2 linked regions of the Coturnix japonica genome follow. The protein of the gene in region 2 interacts with the protein of the main gene of each other region in a biochemical or structural test. Links are inferred from orthologs where the notes say so. Each region holds a gene or a part of one and is shown on either strand. Other genes may lie near its edges.

Evidence for each region. The genes of interacting proteins can lie anywhere in the genome.
Region 1: the proteins of SNAP25 (region 2) and CPLX1 are reported together in a solved structure, tested with the Homo sapiens proteins (2 studies listed by BioGRID, with this or other methods). The link is inferred for Coturnix japonica from reciprocal best matches to the Homo sapiens genes SNAP25 and CPLX1.

The regions. Positions count from the first base shown.
Region 1 is NC_029547.1:46,350,650-46,357,207, forward strand, and holds the start of CPLX1 (complexin-1), read left to right. Parts: upstream 1-3,046; 5' UTR 3,047-3,118; coding exon 3,119-3,149; intron 3,150-6,558. UniProt on the Homo sapiens protein: Positively regulates a late step in exocytosis of various cytoplasmic vesicles, such as synaptic vesicles and other secretory vesicles.
Region 2 is NC_029518.1:11,887,721-11,895,422, reverse strand, and holds the start of SNAP25 (synaptosomal-associated protein 25), read left to right. Parts: upstream 1-3,279; 5' UTR 3,280-3,440; intron 3,441-7,702.

The DNA of each region.
Region 1 (6,558 bases), on a different chromosome or scaffold from region 2:
GCAGTGCAAAGCAGACCCAATTTTGTTCCACACGCGGCGGCGCTCCTCTGTCCATGGTGCTGACAAATAACCCGCATCTGCACCTTCCCCTTCCCAGAAATCACCGCTATTTCTGTCTTCTGTCCTCGCCCACTAAACATACTAAAATTGCATTATTGCCAGCTTCACATTCATAAAAAGTTACGGCCATAATCTATGCCATCAGAAAAAAAATATCCATGGAGCATTGCTCTTATCATTGCTATGGCTGAGCAAGATGCTATTTCTCCTGTTGCCAAAGGCACGAATCTCTGATAAATCTTGTATTGGATCCCCATCCATGCAGATGAGTGCCTCAGCATGATGAGCAAAAGTTGTGTCAGGCCTACTGTGTTCCATTTCAGAAGCAAAAGAGTTCCCCAGAATTATTTCTGAATCTGTTATTTGACAAAGTTCTATGTACTACGTCACTTCTTTTTTACTATGCCCTTCCTTTTCTCAGTATTTGAAACCTGTGTGATGATGGTGAGAATACTGGTGGGATCTTTCCTGACTGATAGTTTAGAGTGCCTTCTGAACAGAAGACACCAAAATCAAGCTTAAAAGCATTTGATTTTTTGTTGTGAAGGTACATCGTGTGAGAGTTAAGAGTTGCTTGGAAGTTCATATGTGGAGTGGCAGAGAAATCCTGAATCTGAGAATATCTGTGTCTCATTGAGGTTTATAGTCTGGTGCCTAGTTCTTATGAGGAAAAATGAGCTGTGTAGTGGTGAGTGCCATGAATCAGGTGTTTTGTGTTTCTCTGGCAGCTGCAAAAATCATCTGGAAAAAGTAGGTAGTCTGGAGACCAGACCACGATAAAGCACCTTTGCATGTGAGTTAGGGATTAAAAGAGGGTTTATTTATTTGTTTACCTTCTTCTTGCTTCTTACTATTTTTTTTTTTTTTTACTTTTCTGAAAACCGTCAGTACAAGCAAAGCACATCTCTATTCAGCTGAGCTTCCTAGGCTGATATTAGGGTCTGTCTGAGAGATCACTTTCTAGGAGCAATCTGGGTCAGACCCAGGTGGGAGGATGCTGGCTTGAGCACCGAAGCATGCCTTGCTGTGCGTGCAGCAGGCACCGAGAAGCCACGGTAGCCGGCACTGCTGGACAGTGAGCAGGCTCTTTGCCGTGCCTGCCAGACCTGCTTGCCTTTCCCCACGAGGCCCTCCCTGACTTTCAGATGAAGTCAACCAGTGAAACTATTTTACCGTGTCCCGATTACACCATCGCGCTGCTCCCCCGGCCGGGGCTCCCCCTTTCCGCAGTCCCCGTCCTCCCCCGACCACTTCGGCTCCATACGGTTTGCACAGGTAGCGTTCCACCTCTCCTGCTGGTGACAGGAGGACCGATCCGCTGCAGAACTCGTGCCCGCTACACCCAGCCCCGGGAGGGCTGTCGGCATGCCCAGTACCCGGGGTGGAGTATTGCTCTGATCCTCTCCTTCCTCTTCTCCTTCAAAACCCGTTCTGAACACGGGCTGGACAGCGGACCGCAGCCTTCACGCTCTTCATCAGGCGACCGCGAGGAGGAGGGTCCTTCTCCTCCCTTCCTTGCCCCCGCCCTCCCCTCATCTTCCCTTGGGATACAGACGGACCTTGTCAGGGAGGGAGCGCAGAGCTCAGCCGGCGGTCCGTCCGGCCACAGTACAATCCAAGCCGAAGGAGAAGAGAGGACGAGGCGCTGCTCGCTCCCTGTCTTCCTCGCTGCCTGACAACTCTTTTCAGGACCTAGGGGACGAGCGGAGATGTCCGGGAATGACCCAGAGCGGAAGACGCGGATCACTCCCACACCTTCCCACCTTTTGCAGGAAGGAGTATTTGCAGACGTTTCCCACACACCCCTGAGGATAACCAAGGAAGCGCTGGCAAAATACAGCGGAGGGCTAATCCCTCCCCCATCTCCGCCAGGCGAAGAGGCAGGGTCCCTGGTGCAGGCAGACAGCGGGAGATGAGGCAGGGGGTGCACACATGGAGTCGCGCACCCCTCCGCGGGGCTGGCAGAGCCGGGGACCTCCTCCGCGGCCAGAGCCCAGGAGCGAGGGCGGTACAGGGAAGGGGCGGGGGAGCGAGAAGCAGGGGGAGGGCGAGAGCCCGGCTTCAGCAGCCGGGGGAGGAGGAAGGAGGGACCGTGTAGGTGGGATGGTCCGGAAATCCCGTGATAAAAAGAGGAGCGCGGGGGAAAAGTAGGGAGAAGCTTCGGACTCGTTCTCTCTCCTCCACTTCACATCCACAACTTGCCCGCTGGCACATGGGTGCCGGTCGGAGCCGCTAGCAGCGGAACGGTCCGCAGCACCTGTCCAGCACCGCACAGCGCCCACGTAGCCAGCGAGGTACAGGCACGGGGTGGACGGGACGGAGGGTGCCGTGCCGTGCCGTGCCGAAGGGTGCGTGCCGGCGGCGTGCGGGAGGGCAGCGAGGAGAGGCAGCTGCGGGCAGGCGGCGGTGGGTGCAGCCCTAATGGCACCTGGGAACCGGAGCCGATGCCAACGAAGGGAGGCAGCAGGCTGCGCGGAGGGGATACCGGGCTGCGCCCGCCGCCGGTCCGTCCCCGGCTCTGGTGGAGCATCTCCCGGGGAGATGCTGGCAGTGCACCGGGATCCCCGGCGAGAGGTGTCGCATCCCCGCGTCCCGCCGCCACGGCTGCATCCCCGCCGCTCATCCTACCCGCTCGCCCCGCCGGGCACACGCGGAGCGTTTCACCTTCAAATGCCCCCTCCGGAAGCCAGGTGGCGGGAGGTGCGGGCGGGGAAGAGAGAAAGTTAGGAGCTTTAACGCTTTCTCGTCCGCGCTGCCGGCCACCCGCACTCTCGGGCCATCACTGCTCCCCTGCCCTCTTGCCTTCCCCCCCTTCCACCCTCGCACTGCCTGGCATCCCCCTGCCTTGTCCTGTAGGGCTGGAGTCCGAGGGTCTGCGGGTGGAAACTTGGCTGGGAAGGAAGGCGGTGGGGAAGGTGGTAGCAAACAGCCGCCGTTTTTCCTCCGGGAGAAACCGCTCCTCTGGTGTCTGTGCCCCTCCCCGCAGGCTGCCCGCCGCGGATTGCCGGTCTCCGTGCATGCGAGGTGTGAAGCTGGGCAGCGCCCCTGAGCCATCGCCATGGATTTTGTGATGAAGCAAGCCTTAGGAGGTAAGTGCAGCCTGCACGTGGGGGGCCTCGCATCGCCCTTTCCCTCTCGGTGCAAGACGTGATGGTCTGCTGAGAGCCTCCGGTGGGGCTGCGGTCGGAATTGCTATTTGGTGGCTGCAGAGGGACATGCCAGCCAGATTCGTGATCCCAGAGCCAAGTGCTGGAAGAATCTGAGCAGGAGAGGGCAGCAACAAGCAGACACCAAAGCCCCATGTCATAGAGGGAGGAATGCCTCCCACGGCAGATGTGCTGGAAGGACTCGGGCTGTGCTGGGACCCTACCAGCTGTGTCCTGCTGTACTGTGCATAAGTGCCGTCTTGCTTTGTACTGTCTTCTGAGGCAGCAGTGGCAAAGAGAGTAGGAAGAATTAATCAGGGGACTCCCAAAGACTGACATTTTTTGGTGGGTGGGAGCCTCTCCTCCATCCTTCCCCTGGACTTTGGGTAGATTGTGACCAATGGCTACTGAAGAGAAGTTTGGTTTCTGTGACCTAGCATTTGGGAAGTGATATTTGTTAATAATATTGCTGCAGTAAGCAGGAAAAAAAATAATGTGTTCCCTCACAACTGATGTAGTTAGGGGACAGACCTTTAATATGGTTTTAATGTATTTCCTTCCATGTGTGATGAGCCTCTTTAACTCAGTGATGAGAAGCAGAAAAAAACAGCAGTGAGGGGAGAGAAATGAAATCCAACACAAAAGTGTTCTGGAGTGAGATTCCTTTTTTTTTTTCCTGTCACAGTTGCGTTACCTTACTGGGCTGCTTGTCCCAAATGCTCAGAAAAAGTGAGATTGTCATTGGAACAATACCGAATACAGGCTGTCTCTGAGAGGTGCTTGGCCTTGGAAGAAGCCACGATGTGTTTCTGATTGTTCCCTCTATTTTACTATACCTGATGTGTGCATTTTTCCTTTTTTTTTTTTTTTTTTTTTTAATTTTTTTTTTTTTTTTTTTTTTTGGGTGGGGGGCGAGCAGGGGGAAGAGGTAAACTGTAGCCATGGGACTGAGAAGATGTCTCATGCGTAGTGTTACTGATACCATATGCTTCAGCACATGGTAGAGACATCTACTGCAGGACAGTTTTATGTGGCATGGAAATGTGTTTTCCATTTTTGCAAGGAATGAACTATTTTCTCACCAAGGGAGCAAAATCTCGTAGTTAAGGATAGAGTGATATCCGAAGTTCTCATTGTGGTGTTTTGAATATGAAGGCCAAATTGAAGATAAAAGGTATCTTCATCTCCTTCTATTTTGTGTGATCAAACTTGATCCTACATAAGAAAATAAATGTTCTTGTGGTAATGGTATTGCATTTCATCACTGTTTGTGCCTATCTGAAAGAGAAACACTCCTGAGGAGGGCAGGTTTTATATAGGTTATCTACACTGTAAGGTTGCTTACACGGAAATGAACCTGGATCTGCATGGTAAAAACAGCCTGTGCAGTTGGAGATCAGGCAGCCCACTGAAGAGAAATAACAGCTTGGAGACTGCAAGGGGTGTGGAGGGTTGCAGAAGCGGAGTAGCAGCTGAGATGCATACTCTTATTGTGGGGTTGTGACGAGCTGGAGTTGGGAGCAGTGTGTGCTTGTACCAAACAGCATTTAATCTGGGCAGACATTCATTCTAACATAATCCTGCGTGGCAGGGTCAGGATTTGCATTATAATAGGAGCTGCTGAGAAGTCAAGTTCAGGAAGGATCTGTTGGTGAAGTCTGGGTATCTCATGTCTGCAGCAAGATGCTGCCCAGGGTGCCAGCTCTTCTGCCATCTGACATAGTATATTAGCAAACTGGGCCTGACATTTGCCCCTTGCTGGATAGAGGAGAAGGCTCTGAGGACTGGTAAAAAAACAGAAAATGTTCATTCATTATGCAGAGATGTATTTTTAACTCAGAAATGGTTTTAAAGAGGGAAAACAGCTACTTCCAGGGCAGATATATCATATCATAGGAAGTGAAGATTCTTTTGGACGCTGGTTTCCCATCCAGTGGTAAAGCCACAACTGATGCATTCATGATCCTTCTGGGAGTTCTCCCATCTCTGAGGCAATCTCTGAACATGCTTCCTGGGTCTCTAGTGGCATCTGACAATCAGATATGCATTTCCTTGGAGCCTTGCTAGTCAGAGGGGTAGAAAGCAGGAAGGTGTTTTAGAAAGCTATTGAGATGAGTTAGCAAGCAAGGAAAGATAGTTATGTTATGTGGTGTAGGAGTCTGTGAGTTTGTGAAACTCTTGAGGATTGGGATGATACAAAATTAGTTTGGCAGGTTATTCTGAAGCAGAATATGTTCATTCCGTGACCTGCAGTTAAAGGGAGTCTGCAGAAGCTTGCTGTGCCTGTACAGTGGACGTCTCTCCTCTGCTGTGCTGCCAGCACTGGGATTTTGCTGCTAGTCTTGGCAGCAGTCATTGCCTGGCTGTTAGTAGGTTTGAGATGTCTTTGCAAATTCTTGGCCCCTTCAAGGTAAAATTCCTGACCCTCACATATGTAGTGGGGGCTGTGATCCAGTAAAGCACTACAAAATATTACCTTACTTGGCCATCTGGTTTCTGTGGCATTTTTATTTTTTTCTCCACTCAGGACATTTCATTGCCCTCTGTAGAAAGTGCCCCCTTGTACTGTTTATGTGGCAGTACAAGCAGCACAGATTTGAAATACAGTCATGGTTCTGATTTGCTGTGTGGGATGACAAGAAGAAAACAAGGGGAAACTTGAGAGCTTAAAATCACTGCTTCTGCCAGAGAAGTGACAATGACAGCAAAAAGGTATTTTTACCTCTGCCCATAGTCAGATCCACTCCACACCAACCGATATCAACACAGATGTCTGTTGGTCATTTATCTGTTACTGTGACAGTTCACTAAGTGAACACAACCAGTGTGGTTGCATGATTGCATTTCACATTAGGGGCGCTCTTTAGCAAGACAGGTCAGAGCTCTGTAGCATTGTCATCATGATTTATAGACCAAGATGTATGACTTCTCAGGGAAATGTTGGCAGTGAAGGACTTAATACGGTCCCTGGAAGAATTTAACTATGGTATTTTTCAACGAACATCACTTAGTTTTGCACTGGTTGTGTGAAAGCAAGGGATGCTTTAATACCTGACTGCTAGTCACACTGTTCTGGCTCACTTCCTTTATCACTGTGGACTGGACAAACAGAGCGAACGGTCTGAAAGAGAACAGATGCTAACTCTCATTAAGCTTTGCTTTGCCACCTCTTTTTACTGGAAGACTTCAGGGTCAAGGGACTTGTGCATTTTCTTAAAGGGAAGGGGAGAGCTCTTGGAAAGGTGAGGCAGATTTCACAGATATGTGATCACTATGAATAGAATTTCTTACTAAGAGAATGGGCACTGTGCAGGCTGGAAAGCTGTGAAGGTAAGGAAATTACAGAGCAGCC
Region 2 (7,702 bases):
AACCAGAAAGGCTACAAACTGTTTAGTGCCAAAGCAGGTACATTTTTCTCCTCTCCTTTTTTTTTGCTCCCTCTGTCCTAGTTCAATTAGAATTTATTTCTCATCTGCATACTAGAGGCACAGATGAGCAGTGCAAGGTATTTCATTCTCTGCTAACAAAAGATAGAAATGCCTGGGAAACGTGGAAGGGACCAAGGCAGTCTCTGTCTGACAGGCTTTACGACTGTCTCTGGAAGAGCCCAGGGATTAACATCCAGGACCTGGTGGCACTGCTCAGCATTTTGGTGTTATGCTTGCTTTCTGCCTCCCAGCACAGCTTTGCAGCATGCAGGCTCATGTTTTGGAGACTGAAGGTGATTCTGTGAGCAAAGAGCTTCTACTGCCTGCAACCATACCTCAAATTGTGGACAAAACATGGGCTGCCGTTTCCTCCCTGCTATCATGCTGCAGGCTCTGCCTGCTTTGCATCACTCTGGCTGCTGGCCGGTAACACTGGAACCCACTTCATGCCACCCTCATGTAGCAAAATATGTTCCCTGTGTCATTATCCACAGGCTGTGCCCACAGGTACTAGTTGTTCAGCTTACTGAATATTTGCCTGAATAATAAGGAGGGAGCTGAATCATTCTTAGAGCAAATTCTAGTTTTCTCTCTCCTCCTACTTCATTTTTAGGCTTCACTTATCACAGCTCTCCTTCACACAGCATTAAGTGAGTGTTTATATACTATTAGAGACAGTCAATAAACTCCCCCCTCCCCCTCTCCCCTCATTTTTTTAAGAAACAAAGCATCCCCAAATGATGCTAGAGAACAAGCTGAAATTGCTTAGTAGTGCTTATTGCAACAGAAATCCTGGTGCTGCGGTGCAAAAGGCTGCCCCCCCTCTGCATCTCCCAGGATAGAGGCACACACCTTCCTGAGCAACACAAAAGGTATCTGCTCCCTTATTCATTTAGAAAAAAACACACAAACCAACTGTAGGAGAGGAATTTGTCCCTACTGAGCTTAATGGGCAATGTTCATGGTCTATTTAGTGATTCTGCCTTATGTTGTTTTATTAGAAGACACGATTTCTGCTGCAGCAGAGCTTGAAAATTAATCTGAAATTGAACTCAGTTTTCTCAGTAGACACCTACCTCCCTCCCTTCTCCTACCCCCTCCTTCTTCTGTCTCTGACCATCCCTGAGCACTCTTTCCCCAAGTTATGCTGCATGACTTCTTTATTTTTTATTTTGCCTTCACTGCATTTTCCTTACAGGCATTTGACAGAAGCAGCCAAATTCATCCCTGTTGGTATCCAATGGACTGAAATTCTTCTCAGCAGTGTTATTTGGCTGAATCCAAACTCAGTCAGGATTTTGCAGTGCTGGTGGCTCAGTCAAAATAACAGTTTATAATTTCTCTCTCGCTTTCCTTTTCTGCCGTCACTGTGAATTATTAATAAGAACTAGCATTGCTCTCTTAAAAATTGAACTTCATTTCAAAACCACCTACCAGACAAGCTGTCTGAAAATTTCTTCTTAACTTTCTGTGTGTACTAAGAACTTGCAAAGCACAATGCATGCGCATGGACTGCCTGAATTTCAGACCGAGACACACGCTGGGATTCCTCTTGCTTTCTGCAGTGCATACCTAATTGGAGTGCTGGCTACTGTTAACCCATATATGAGTTGAGCAGAAAAGGTTTGCCTTTCCATACTGTCATTTATGATGCTAAATCCAGGTCCTGCTCAAGGTGCTGATCCAGATCCCTCACCTAGAAGGGGGGCTGTCTGCACAGCGTTGATCTCTCTCTACTTGTCTGCCTTTACAGCCCTTAAGTCTGACAGGTTCTCTCCTTCCCTGCGGTTTTTGTGTGCACAGCTCATCAGATACTCTACTGCAGCAGGAAGCCCCTCTTCCCTGAGAATTCCTTTGTTGTATATTTAGCAAACTTTTGACTGCTTCCTTCCAAACGAGACTGAAGGACATATTTTCGTAGGAGAGGGTGAGAATTGCAAAGCACGATCTACAATCACGTTTTTCTATGGGGAACTACAGAGCAGGGGAGGAGGAATCACCGCAGTTCTTTCTCCTTCCCCCCCCCCGCACCTCCCCTCCCCTTTCTCTCCTCCACCCCCATACAACCACAACATGAGACAAACGTGCTCCAAAATACAGCTGCAGAGCCTTCCCCCTCTTCCGGTCTTCCCTGCCATGGCAATAAGGGAAAAAAAGACATAATGATTAGGGTAGAATTATCACTAATATGAGACTGATGTTTTGACACCGTCATCTGCAGACTATTTAGAAAAGCCATTAGCACAGTGTCAGAGTTAAGCATAGCCAGTGCTCAGTGACTGCTCACAAGAGAGGCTCAGACGGAGGCACCTCTGCTCATGGGTAGGTCTGGATGGTTCCATACACGAACGTGCGCAGGCTTGTGGAATGAAAGGGAAGGGATAACTGAGGTTATGAAAGAGTGTCGCATTTCAGATGCAATCCCCATCCTTCATTAAAATCTCCGTTAAGAGATACCTTTTACAGAAAGATGTTTTGTAACAAATGAGAGGATTTCCTCTCCATTAAATATCACACTACAGACAGCTCCATTTGCTCCAAATTAGGTAAGCTCTGAATAAATATTTTAATTAATCCATGATAAATAAGCCAGGCTTTTTCCCAGAACAGAGTCACTGCTTTCCTCCTTGGCAGCAGCGGTCTGTTCTCTCTGTGCTGTATGTATGCACGTACATGCCTGGGTTTTTTGTGAGGGCTTTTTTTTTCCCCCCTTCTCTCTCCCTTTTCTAAACCTGTCTCTCAAATGATCGGTTATAGCACATGTCCTTATCTGTGGATTTCCTTGCGTTTGTGTGCTCTTATTTCAGGGGGGAGGAGAAGGGGAATAATCAGATTAACACACTCAGACCCGTGGCAGGATGCTCTGAAACATAAAAAGAGGGAGAGAAGGAAGAATTCACACATAAAAATAGAAGCCCACGTAGATTGGCCATATATGGAGTACCGGGGACTTCAGAGGGATACCCTCTTCGGACCACCCCTTTGGCGGAGGCATGTTGCTGCAGGAGGCCCCTTCCCCCCTCCCCGGGCGGTTCAGCCCCCGGCCCCCAGGCTCGGAGGAGGCCCGGCGGGGCCGTTTGTCGGCGGGGCGAGGAGATCGGAGCGGGAGGCGGCGGCGGCGGTGATGACTCAAGCCCGCCCGCCCGGCCCGCTCTGCCCCCCGCCCGCTCCCGCCTCCCCCATTCCCCCCCCCCCTCCGGGGAGGGCTATTAAAAGCTGCTGACGTAGGAGCGGACGGCCATCTTTGATGAGGGCACGGCTCTCGGTCCATTGAAGAAGGAGACCCGAGGAGGTCAGCAGCGGCTGTCCTTGCCTCCCAGCTGCGGCACCGAGACACCAACCCCGCCGAGGCGGCCCGGCGGAGCGCTGCACAAGCCGAGGTAAGGGCGGGAGACCACCGGGCCACCGACTGAGCAAGGGGAGGGGGCTGTATGAACGAAAATGAAGCGAAAAAAGGATTTGTTTAAAGGGGGACGCGCTCGGCGTTTTGTCTCCTGTCTCTGGGCTGCTACAGGGATGGAGGAAGTCGAGGAGAGGGGGGGTAATGCCGCCGCCAGCCTTATCGCCGGCTGGAACCATGGGAGGGAACCGAGCTCTGTGTTTCCGCTGTATCGGGCACGATCGAAGGCGGCAGGGAGCCCGAGGAGAAGGGCAAGCAGCGCATTTCTAACCTGTACTGGGAGCAGGGTGCTGCGGGGCTCTCTGCTCTGCTGGGTCGCGCAGGGCTGCAGCCGCCCAGGGCACTGCAGCGCCCTTCCCGCACCGCACCGCACCGCGCAGGGCTGCGGCGGCGCTTCGGCACCGCGGACGGAGGCCGGGGGGGAGGTCAGCAGGGAGTACTGCGGCTCTGCGGGAACGGGAGGCGGTTCAGCACCGCGGACAGCGTCCGTCAGCACAGCGGACAGCGTCCGTCTTCAGCACCGCGGACAGCGCCACGGCGCCCCGGGCTTGGAGCCGCGCTGCAGGCGGAGGCGGGTTCGCTGCAGCGCCCTGCGGCTCCGCACCCCCCCCGGGCAGCCAGCCCCGGGCAGCCTCTGCCCTGCCGCAAGGGAAGCGAGCCCATAGCTGAGCTGCTAGCTCCTTCCGGGACGGGACCTCAGGCTGAAACAGCTGGGGCTTTGCGGGGTTTCTCGGCAAGTCGAAGCGCAAAGTGGGAGAAATAATAATAATAATAATAATAAACAATAATAATTACAAGCTTCGGTTCTTGAAATTAAGCGGCTCTTCAGCCTGTCTCCCACCCGGCCGGTTGGTGGAAGGGCATTGGTGCAAGGGAAACGGGAGTTATGTAACACCTGGTCCGCGGGGTCTCTCCGGACCAGCGGCAGCCCCTAGGGCATCCCCGCAACCACAGAGGGTCGGCCCCGGGCATTCTGCAGCCTTGAGTCGGGGCAGCTCAGCTCCTCATGCAATGCAGGCAAACCCACCTCGCACTCCTGACCCTGGCATCCCTGTCCCTGGCGTTCCTCTTCCCCTGTCCTTCCTGCTCCCTGGCACCCCGCTTTCCTTCTCCACTTGGTACAGCTCACTGCTGGCAAAGTTGGTAACTTTGCTGTTTTCTGCAGGGCAAATAAACAAGAGGGGATGAGGGAAGTGGGTTGGGCGTCCAGACATTGCACTGCGTAGCTGCGTCAAATGAGGGCCATGGGATCTGCCAGATTTACGTGCTTGGCTTGAGTAATTGCTGCTGGTTTCATTCCCAGCTGAAAAGGGGGTGGGGGGGAGGAGGTGGGGATGGAGAGGCTGGTCTGTGGTGAAGCCTGGGGATGGCAGATCAACCCACCAAGCCATACGTGGTTACTGTCAGCCCCAGCTGCCGCATCCACAAGGACATGCCTGTCCCTCTCCTCCCTGCTCCATCCTAGCTCTGATCTCCATAGACCATGACAAGACAAGGCTGGTCTGGAGGCAGACACCTCTATGGGCTGCAGGGGAGGAAATGGGGCCATCTGGGTGATGAGAGCTCCAGGGGATACAGATGAAGAATCCTCCTCCCATATCCCTGCATGTCACTGAATCATGGTCAAAGATACCAGTCTAGGAAAAAGTGGCAGTGGTTTTCCATTGCTTCTGCATAGTGCATAAGGGGATGGCAAGGAGGTCACTTTGATTCCTAGGATGAGTGCCAAAGAGACAGCAGAAGTGACCAAAGCAAAGGTACAAGCAGGCCTGATTTGCAAAAGTGAGAGCTTGAGGCTCCCACTGAAGTCAGGAGGACTGGAAATAACCGAGCATGTTACGAAACAAAATGCAGCTAAACAGCAACCCCAAGTAAATGCAGTTTAACTATATTTATACAGCTAGCTAGGAAATGATAGTGAGATATCGGATTCTATGTCCACTGAACTCATGAGGGCAGAAAAATAAAGAACCCTTAAAGTACATCTAATGAAACACAGCTCCAGTTTGCAGATTTACTGCATTGGGGGTGGAAGCTGTATTTCAGGTCATCAGAAAGCTTTTCATTCATCTCTGTACAGGTTAGGCATGGCAACAGACAGTGAGATTAAACTGCTAAGGCAAATAAAGTGTAGTCTATATCTAATTCCTGCTCTGCTATAACCGAGCAAGGTAACTAATCAACATGCTTTCCTGTCTTATTATTAACTTAAGCAATTTTTAGGCTTTTGTGTCACAAGCCTATGTTGCAACAATTTGAGGTAAAATGGCAAGCATACAGCAGAACGGAGAACTCAGTCTCTTAATTCCTTCTCTCAGGAATGTAAAAAACCCTAGGAAGAAAGGAACTTGGTTTACCTTGGCTTGTTACACTACCATACTTGTTCATTTCATTTAATTTTTTCCTGATTTTTTTCCTCAATTTTTCATAACTAGAGTATAATCACAGCACTTTCATTATTAAAACACATGCACATTTATTTCAGACTTCTAGGGCTTAAGTCACTTAAAACTACAACAAATGTAAACTCACTTTATGGCCTTCACTGAAGTGAGTATGTTTTTCTTTATCTGAAGTTTCCTCTACTGCTAGAAATGCAGTCACCTTTGGGCTGGGTGAGTGCCAAGTAGTCTGTAACAGTATAATTGTTGAAGCTTTTTAGAGCATCTAACGCAGAGTAGAAAAATGTGTTTGAGAACAGCAGCAGGCTGCAGGTCTCAGGCAGATCACAATTACCTCTAGGAGGTTGGGCTTTGGAAAAGGCACTAGGGTTCATATATCTACTCCTGGGGGAGCTGGATAGAGTTTGTCAGGAACATCAGCTGTCAAAGTATAGATTATTTCTTTTAGCTCATCATTTTTGAGCCTTTACTGATACCTGCGCCCTTCACTTAGATATACTCTGGCTTCCTTCCTTACTGACTTAGCAGATTCAGCTTCTGCATCATATTACAACAAGCACTTCTCCGAAACACACAGGTTATATTCCCAGTTCTTGCCCATCATGCCTTTGTCACTACCTCCATGAATCTTAGATGCACACTTCCACCAGCAAAATCTGCCTCTCGTCAAACAATAGCTTTTAATAAGCCGTCCTGCATCTCACTGGATTTTCTAGGACTTTTTTTTTTACCACCAAGAACAAGCATATATCAACTTGATAGGCTTGAAGTTGTTCCTTCCTGCTTTATGACGACCCTGTGGCCAGTGTTCCAAGACTCAAAAATGTTTTGAATTGATTGATGATTTGAATGGCCTAGAGGAAGTTTTTGGCTAATTTGCCCTGTTACTTAAGAATGAAATTAATCTTGGCCTTCACATCTTTCACTGTTTGTGCTCCTATTTCCACCTCTCTTTCCTCATTGTCATGCCCACCTACAGTCCTCTTCTGCTTACTTTTAAAGAATACTGTGATAAAAGAAACACAGGCTTAAACAAAGCATTAAGATGCTGTCAAGATGGGAGATGAGCATGATCTTTAGCCTTTGATTATTCTAAGGCTTCTAATCCAGAGTCAGCTGAAATCGAGGAAAATAGTTCCAGCAGTTAGACTTTGGATGAGGCTGAGAAAGCTCAAGTCAGGCTATATGCCACTAGAGATGCATATGGGGTATGAAAAGCATTCCACTCACAACAACAGGCATTTGTTGGTTAGACCTGCAGTCAAGAAGAAAGTAGGTCTGCACATCATAGTGTGGGACTTACAACAAAAGACAAGATTTAGCAGCTTTGTTTTTTCAAAGGGAAGCAAGGTATATCCCCTGCACAGACATGTACACTCTGAAATAGATAGTGATATACTGCAAAGAGAATCCAATCATTGCATTATACCCTTTTCCTTTATTTTATTCTGTGTGTATGTGTTGTTTTTGTAGTAGCTGCTTTTTCTAATGAAAGACAAGCTTTGTCATCTTATTCACTGGAGGAAGCTGAATTCCAATACAAGCATGGGGAGGAAAAGAAAGAAATATTATGTAATTCATCATGGCTGTTCCTGGCCTTTGAAAGCTGAAAGCTAATGCTGGCCAATTCAGCTATTTTAAATGATTTTTTCTTTTTTCTTGAAAAAGCTAACAATGCTCCATTTCTGTTTTTAAATGAGACAACTTATTATCAGGCAACACTGTCAATTGGTGTGTATTAGCATAACAGAGTGCTGTGTTGCACTACAGGCTGATGATGTTGAACGGGGGCTCACCATTCATATTTTATAACAGGAATCAGTATACTTGCTGAAGGAGC